Xenopus tropicalis: one gene and its partner. The protein of the gene in region 2 purifies or fractionates together with the protein of the main gene of each other region. This does not show direct contact. Links are inferred from orthologs where the notes say so. Each region holds a gene or a part of one and is shown on either strand. Other genes may lie near its edges.

Region 1 (4,529 bases), on a different chromosome or scaffold from region 2:
CACATTTATTCACCCCCGGGCCGGACCGGGCCAGGGCGGGCCCCCTTTGTCTCTTTAATTCCGGCACGCCAATGACACCAAGTCTCGCGTGATGAGACTTGGCGTCGTCGGCGGGCCGGATTAAAAAGGCAAAGGGGCCGGATGTGGCCCGCGGGCCGTAGTTTGCCCACCCCTGTACTAAACCCTTCGGGTAACTGTTCATTATTCCTGCACTTCAGCTTCAAGGAATTTGAATTGCTTTCTTTTGGTCTCATCCGCCCTCAGAACTCTCTTCCAACAGACTTCTGACGTATCCACATGGTTTTCGGCAAATTGTAGACAGGGAACAATGTTCCTTTTGGGTGGTAGCTTCTTTCTCTTTGCAACGCAGCCATGCATACGAATGTTGGTCAGTGTTCTCCTGATGGTGGAGTCATGAACATTGACATTGGCCAATGCAAGAGAGGCCTTTAGTTCCTTAGATGTTAGCCCTGGGTCCTTTACGATTTCCTGGAGTATTACTTGTCTTGCTTTTGGTGTGATCTTTGTTGGCCGTCCACTCCTGGGGCGGGAAACAACGGTATGGAATTGCCTCCATTTGTGCACAATATGCCTGACAGTGGAGCGGTGGAGTTCCAACTCTTTAGAAATAGTTTTGTAGCCTTTCCCAGCCTGGTGAGCATCAATAACAGTTTGGCGGAGGTGTTCAGAAATCTCTTTTGTTCGAGGCATGACGCACTTCCACAAGCGTATGTCGCGGATATCAGACTTGGATCCTGAAAAAACGACAGATTGCAGGGCCTAAAGTTATAGATTGAGAACAGCGACTTATATCTGACTCCTGCTCAGGAAAACCATAGTAGTCACAATCTTGTAAAAAAACATATACAGCTGTATATACATGTAAGTCACTATAAAGGTCTGCACAAATACACTAAACTTCTATGCAACGGGTCGTCTGGAACTTGTTTTTTTGTAACTAGGAAAAGAGACCAAAAACCAAGGTTTTTACAGGCAACCAAAATGTATAAGAAAAAAAACGTGATAACTACCTGAAATATAGAATCCGGAGTACGTTCAATAGAATGTTTCTGTAAAATAAACCGCGACTCTTTGCGTTCCACGCCTCTCTCTACTGCAGGATGTTGACTGCTATACACCAATCAGAAAGCGCAGGAAACCAGACATACAGGAAATGAAGTCTAGACAAGCGGCATAACCCAATCAGCTCTTCGGTTAGAAAAGCCCTCCCCTTTTTGCAGCAGTAACAAATCAAAGCGTGAGAAGGGGTTGGAAAGAGCCAATCATCGGCGCTGTACTGTGAGCGTTGTTTTGTTTCTGGGGACGTTCTGGTTGGCTTGTAGTTTGGCACCAATAAGAGGCGGCCGAGAGCAAGCGCCTGCGTATCTGCTTCTAAAAGGCTTCGGCGATCGTGTCCCGGTAACCGTGTTAGCAAAGCAGCTCCAGCCATGTCCCTGCACGGGAAAAGGAAGGAGATTTATAAGTACGAGGCGCCATGGACCGTCTATGCTATGAACTGGAGTGTGAGGCCGGACAAGAGGTTCCGCTTGGCGTTGGGGAGCTTTGTTGAGGAATATAACAATAAGGTGCCTAGAAGTATGCGCTTAGTGTAAAGGGTTAACTATCCTTCCCTCCTTCAACTGGGTAGAGTTGCACTACATCTCCCAGAATGCTCAGTGAATGTGGATAGTTCTGTGTTACAGCTGTGTGGGTTGTATCCAGATGATACACATATAACATGAATTCAATCTGCTTGGTGTGTGTGTGTATGTATATATATATATATATATATATATATATATATATATAATATATATATTATATAAAGATTACAGCAGTAAACTGTCATTTAGATCTATTAAAGGGTCATTTAAAAACCCTCACACAATCTGCTTATAAATACATTGCTATGTAAGTGTACAGTGACCTGACTCATGTACAGACTGTGTGTTTTGCTTTAGAGTAGGATTTTAAACTGGGGCCCAAATCCAATTGAGAGATGAAGTTTTAAAGGCCAATCACATCAGGACTTAGGGATAAATTATTTCTGGTGAAGGAGGGGGGCAGTGGTCTAAAAATGTCTGACAACCTCTGCCGCTGTGGCCCCTGGAACAAAGATTAGATTATGAAAATGTAGATCTATCCAATGTGCTCCCCTTCTGATGGTTTTTTTTCTGGAGTGCCCAATAGATGACTGACTAAATGTTTGGCAAATAGATGCCAGGTGTTGGTGGGGCCCATACACGAGACTTGGTCTGGTGGGGCTGTGTTGGTAGTTTGTATCAGTGTATGCCCAGTGTTAGCTTCCGCTTGTATAAACTGCATTTGTCTTCAGACAGGGCTGCAATGAGGAATCCCTGAGCCCCATACCTCTAAAGCTGGCCATACACGCACCGATAATATTGTATGAAACCTCGTTTCGTACGATATTCGGTGTGTGTATGGCAAGTCGGCGAGTCGACCGGTATCGCAGGAGGCTCCTGATATCGGTCGACTCGCCGATCGGCCAGGTCAAAAGATTTTGATCGGGCACCATAGAAGGCGCCTGAGCAAAATCTGACGTCAGGGCTGAATCGGCAGAAGGAGGTAGAAATCCTATTGTTTCTACCTCCTTATCTGCCTTTTCAGCCCTGAACGGTTAAGGTGGCCATACACGCACCGATATTATCGTACGAAACCTCGTTTCGTACGATAATCGGTGCATGTATGGCATGTCGGCGAGTCGACCGATATCGCAGGAAGCTGCTGATATCGGACGACTCGCCGATCGGACCAGTTTGAAAATTTTGATCGGGCGCCATAGAAGGCGCCTGACCAAAATTCTCCTTTCAGAGCTGAATCGGCAGAAGGAGGTAGAAATCCTATTGTTTCTACCTCCTTACCTGCCGATTCAGCCCTGAATGGTGTGTGGCGGATCTTACGATGTTTCGTGCGACCGATGGTCGTACGAAACATCGTCAGATCGCCACGTGTATGGCCACCTTTAGTGGCGGGTCACGTGTGTGGCCACCTTAAATAGCAGGGACCTCCCCCCTCCAGGTAGAAGTAAAATGGGGCCCCTGGAAACATGAACACACCCTGATTATTGGCACATTCCAGATTCAGCTCCAGTTGCGTCCCACCTTAATACTGTAAACCCACCCACAATTCAACCAACCCACCTTCTCACCCACAAGCTCTGACCCCCCGAATTGTACAATCAAATCTCTTGGGCCCCTGGGTCAATAACCTTTGTACCCACCCTGCTGGCAGCCGTGACTTTAGGAGCTTAATACCATATACATAAATTATCTCCTTTGTATTGTAGGGGGGGGGGGGGGGGGGATATTGCATAGTTAATAAACACCAAGCCTTTTATAATACGCAAATTAAGTGTATTTCACCTAATTATCAACTTAGGGTATGGTTAAGACAGCTGCATTCTTAGACAAGTGGCGATAACTCTTCATTTTATGTTTTGTTGAGGTTTTAAAACATTTTTATATCTCTAGCTTCCAGGTTTGGCGTTTTTGCTGCTGTTAGTATCACTTTAGGAAGTGAAGTCATGCGAGGGCTGTGTAGTTATGTTGATAAGGCCCTCTCCCGATGGGTTGCCACAGGTCCAATTGTTTGGCCAAACGATCAAATAAATCCAATTTAGCCAAGCATGTGAGTGGCCACATCAAGCAAAAGCCCACTAGTTTGGTGATCCCACAAATTTAGGTGATATCTGTACAGAAATGTTTGCTGTATGAATGGTAATGCTAGGAAGTAGGAGTGGCTCAGGTCCTGCACGTGAGTGGTTTAATTTGTACCATTTCACTGTATTAACCAATCTTTCATTCAGGAATTGATTTTTCTTTCTTTTTTTTTTTTCTTTTTTTAGGTACAGCTAGTAGGACTGGATGAAGAGAGCTCTGAATTCATTTGCCGAAACACATTTGATCACCCGTATCCTACAACAAAGCTTATGTGGATCCCCGACACTAAAGGAGTATATCCAGATCTGTTAGCCACCAGCGGGGATTACCTCCGTGTCTGGAGGGTAAGTACGAAGGCAGCGACTACAAGCCCAAAATATGAATAATGATTGATAATGGCACCCAACAGAGTATTAGCGCTTGAGATTAGAGTGTTGATAAGTGTCATGTTGCTTATTCTGTTTCTCTCTTTATCAAAGGTTGGAGAGACGGAGACCCGTCTGGAGTGTTTGCTAAACAACAACAAGAACTCTGATTTCTGTGCCCCCCTCACCTCATTTGATTGGAATGAAGTAGACCCCAACCTGCTGGGTAAGGAACAAGCAAGGCCTGCTTTTTCACAGTTCTCTGTTCCTTGTAGATCCAAGGTTATTTAATGCATTTTCATAAAACATCACCCAAACTAACACTGAGAGCAAGCCTCTGAGCTTATAAACCAACTTGATACAGTAACTCTATAACTTCTTTAAGCTGACCTTACTTAATATGCCCACCTCCAGGTGGGCGATTTCAGACTGATCCTAGGGCCAAACGATCAGATCATAAAAATGGGGATACAGGCCATTGGGA
Region 2 (4,067 bases):
ATCAAATGACAGCAACCAGCGGGTTTTGTATACCCGCATCCGAGAGCGATCCCCAGGAGTCAGTACTCCCTGCTGCCAAGACCCCAGTATGTTGTGCCTCTGTATCCGCTGCTCCAGTGCACGGCTGTCTTCTCCTCTCTTCCCACACCCAGAAGCACCAGGGGCTCCTTCTACCTCTTCAGGGGTTACTTCCACTTCTTTCTCCCCAGTGCAGACAGAACCCTCGCACTCCTTGGAACGGCAGCAGCAGCAGCACCAGTCCTCCGCTCAACACGATCATGGTCTTCTGAGCCGCCCTTCTGCCTTCAGCAGCGTGCACAGCAGCACAGCCGGCAACACACTGCGTAACCTGAGCCTGGGGCCTACCCGCCGGTCACTAACAGGGCAGCCTTCCCGCTATCAGCAACCATCCACTGATTTGGCTGGTTCTGAATGGACTCGCACTGTGCTGAGTATGGGACCTCGACCGGAGATGGAACCCATGCCGCCACCCAGGACGAGTGCCTCTTCTGTCAGCATCTTGTCTGTTCTGCGACAGCAGGAGGGAGAAACGTCCTCTTCTGTATACACCTCAGCAACAGAGGGGAGAGGATTCTCTAGCTCTGAGTCTGACAGCTCTGCCGCTCCACCACCTGTTCACCCCACAACCACTCGAACTGAACTTCAGTGTGACCTGAGACGCTTCTTCCTCGAGTATGACAGGCTTCATGAACTGGAGCCAGGAGCACCGGGAACAACACAGGGACAGACTCACGAGATGCTTAACAACAACTTAGAACCTGAGCAGCCTGGGCCATCTCATCAACCCCCACAAGCTCATTCAGGCGACAGCACCTCCAACCAGCCCCGTGGACACATTAATCGCTGCCGTGCGTGCCACAACCTGCTGACCTTCAACAACGACACACTGCGCTGGGAAAGGACACCCCCAACTTATCCGGAGACAGCAGGAACCTCTACTTGGCAGCCTCCACCCATTCCTCCCCCAAGCTCTTTCCAGGCCGGTCTCGCCGCTGGCAGCACAGATCATCCTGGAACGCCCAGGGTGGAGAGAGTGGACCTAGGAAGCATGGCAGCAAGCAGTAACCGTCTGGAAAATGGGACTACACAGGAGGAGAGAACAGTAGGCGTGGTGTATAACCCAGAGACTGGACACTGGGAACGTGTCTACAGCCAGCCAGCATCTGTTAGCAGAGCTCCGAATGTATCCCAAGAGGCCTTACCACAAGATCTGCAGGAGGAGAGCACAGAGGAGGATTCTCTCAGAAGGTAGGACGGGGGTTATGGGGCGGGACATTGCTAATTGTTTTTTATGTGAAATAATGGCCTTTGATGCTGGTGTCAACAATCCATTGTTAACTCCTTTCTTGAGACAAAACTAGTTCAGGATTGTCCACTCGAGGCCCATAAAGTGGCCATACATGTACCAATTACAGCCTTTCCTGGGACCATTGTGTTCAGGAAAGATTGTTCATTCCCACCACTGACGTTCAGGGCTGAATCGCCAGATGTGGATGTAGAAACAATAAGGATTCTACCTCCACCTGAGAATTCAGCCCTTAGCGCAGATTTTGCTCGGGAGCATCAAAATCTTTTGTCTTGCCTGATCGATGAGACAGCTGATATCTGAAGCTTTTGCAATATTGGTTGTCGAACCGCCATACATGCACCAAATATCGAGCAATAATATTGGTGCGTGCATTGCCAGCTTAAGCCAGGTGTGGCCCTCCAAGGGATTGTTATGGGCCACAGCAGCAAAGTTTTAGGTAACACTGATCTAGAATTAGATCCTAAGCTCCTAATTTACTTATATAAAAAGACAGTTCTTCTCTTTACCACATGGTGGCGCTGCAGGGTAGCAGTTTTCCATTTTGCACTGAATTAGCCATCTGTAGAGCAGGACCAGCCACTGACTCAAGGGGATTCCACTACAACACTCTGGAGAAGAGATTTTATCTAGGACATCTGAAATTTCTGCAAGGACGAGGAAACACGTTTCCCAGAAACGCAAGCTTTAGTCGCTGACCCCAAGCCCTGTAGCATGGCTATATCCGTGCAACCGTGGGTTGTACTATTTACATATAGGCTAGTATGTCCTCTTAACAAAAAAATATGGGGTTTTGGAAATGTATATGTTTCAACCCCTCCTTCTCCCAGAGACCCACGAGGAGGCCGCCCCACGGCATCATTTTGTGAAGCCATACATGGGGACCCATCTGTCAGTTGAATTACATGGTCTGCTGCCGTATGAAGTTGATCTGCAATTAGCAAATCCTGACGGTACCCCCCTTTGAAAGATATCACTTTAGACAGCTCATAATGCTGACTTTGTGCAGTCTGAATTAGCATGAGAATTCCGTTGATTAGATTATCTATGGAATTAATTAATCTGGGACAGTATTTACCCACGCTGCAAGATTTTCATTGCTACCTTTATTTAAAGGGATACTGTTCTTCTTCCAACCGAAGCAGAGCCGGCAATTAGCCCGGGACTGCTTTTGCAGCCTCGTTACAGAACGGCTGTTGTCAGGATCATTAAGTGAACCAGGCAGCAGCAACACGTGGGTAGTCCTAAAGGTGGCCATACACGGGCCGATTCTAGCTGCCGATATAGGTCCCTTAGACCGATTCGGCAGCTTATCGGCCCGTGTAAGGGCACTAATGACGGGCCTGCCTGACTGACATTTGGCCTGATATCGGGCAGATCTCGATCCTGCAGGTTTAAAAATCCGTCGAATCGGAGAGCGCATTGGCTTGTTGATGCAGTCCCCGACCTGACGGACACCTATACCTGTTGTTCTAATTCGATCTCTTGGCCGAATTAGCACGATATCGCCCACCCCTAGGCGGAGATATTGGGAGAAGATCCGCTCGCTTGGCGATCTCGCCAAAGGAGAAGATCTTAGCGTGTATGGCCACCTTAAGAGAGCGTGATATCTGACACCCCCCCCAAGCTTCTTCAACCAATCATCTAAAGGTGGCCATACAAGGGCAGATTTCGGCTTCTGCAGACCAGTTTGACAGCTTATCTGACAGTGTACAGGGACCCCGATGGGCCTACTCGTCCGATATCTGGCTTAAAATTGGCCAAATGCTGATTGGGCAGGTTTGATTTTTCTAGGGATGCACCAAATCCAGAATTTGGTGCAAGATTCGGCCCACAGAGGGGGCACCAAAATGGTAGGCACCCCCCAGTGACTGTAATTGCTTCCCTTATACCCCTTGTTGGTGCTCCTGTTAGGAGAAAACCTGGGTAGCTGCGAATGGGCGATCCTCTTGTTCCTGTCTTCTTTCTTCCCGATCCTGGGGCTGACATTTGCGAAATAGAGTGAAAATGGTGGCTTTTTTGTTTGGCTTTTTGTTTTGGCTACCCCGGGCTGGTGCGGTTTGCTCCTAACAGGAGCACCAGCCAAAGGTATAGGGTAAGTGATTACCATCACTGGGGGGGTGCCTAACGTTTTGCCCAATTATTGTACCTTTCCTTCTCCTTAAAAGCTCTTGCTGGTGTAGGGGACCGGACTGAAGACCTCACTCAGTGTTGGTCATTGGGGCTTGTTCAGATATTGCCGTTGGAAGCTGAGATATTCTATTGGGTGATTGCTACCGTAGCCAAATGCCTTCTGTTTGACACCGCGATGACTCACAAGGTTTAAATAAAATTAGAATGAAATCAAAGGCGAAGGATAGGGTAAGAATCCAACAGTGCAGCGTGAGCTCATATACATACATTCATATATCTTACCCTATAGCGGGGCTTCAGGCAACCTGTAGCACTCATACCGCAGAACTGCAGCTCTCAGCATCTTTCCTTTTGCTGATGCAGAGATATTAAGAGCTATTTTTGCAGCAGCTATCGTTCTGATGGTTCTTAACACCTGACTGATGTGTTTGATCTGTATATATCTTGGGGTATATATGGGACTTTGCGCTGTGCATCAGACAGGAGACTGAAAGAGAAGCCACGTGTGCATGGTTCAGTGTGTGTGACCCTTGCTACAAGTAATTGGCTCTTAAAGGGCACCTATCACAAAAATTCAGATATCTGATCTCAAATTAATCTTAAGGCT

The links. Proteins that work in one complex are often made in the same cells at the same time.
Region 1: the proteins of ambra1 (region 2) and dcaf7 purify together in Homo sapiens (affinity purification with mass spectrometry; 3 studies listed by BioGRID and IntAct, with this or other methods). This does not show direct contact. The link is inferred for Xenopus tropicalis from reciprocal best matches to the Homo sapiens genes AMBRA1 and DCAF7.

Annotation. Positions count from the first base shown.
Region 1 is NC_030686.2:16,437,106-16,441,634, reverse strand, and holds the start of dcaf7 (DDB1- and CUL4-associated factor 7), read left to right. Parts: upstream 1-1,375; 5' UTR 1,376-1,448; coding exon 1,449-1,586; intron 1,587-3,865; coding exon 3,866-4,024; intron 4,025-4,159; coding exon 4,160-4,271; intron 4,272-4,529. Other genes in the region: uncharacterized protein LOC116407961, read right to left, coding at 202-711. UniProt on the Homo sapiens protein: Involved in craniofacial development. Acts upstream of the EDN1 pathway and is required for formation of the upper jaw equivalent, the palatoquadrate. The activity required for EDN1 pathway function differs between the first and second arches.
Region 2 is NC_030680.2:13,047,269-13,051,335, forward strand, and holds part of ambra1 (activating molecule in BECN1-regulated autophagy protein 1), read left to right. Parts: coding exon 1-1,269; intron 1,270-4,067. UniProt on the Homo sapiens protein: Substrate-recognition component of a DCX (DDB1-CUL4-X-box) E3 ubiquitin-protein ligase complex involved in cell cycle control and autophagy.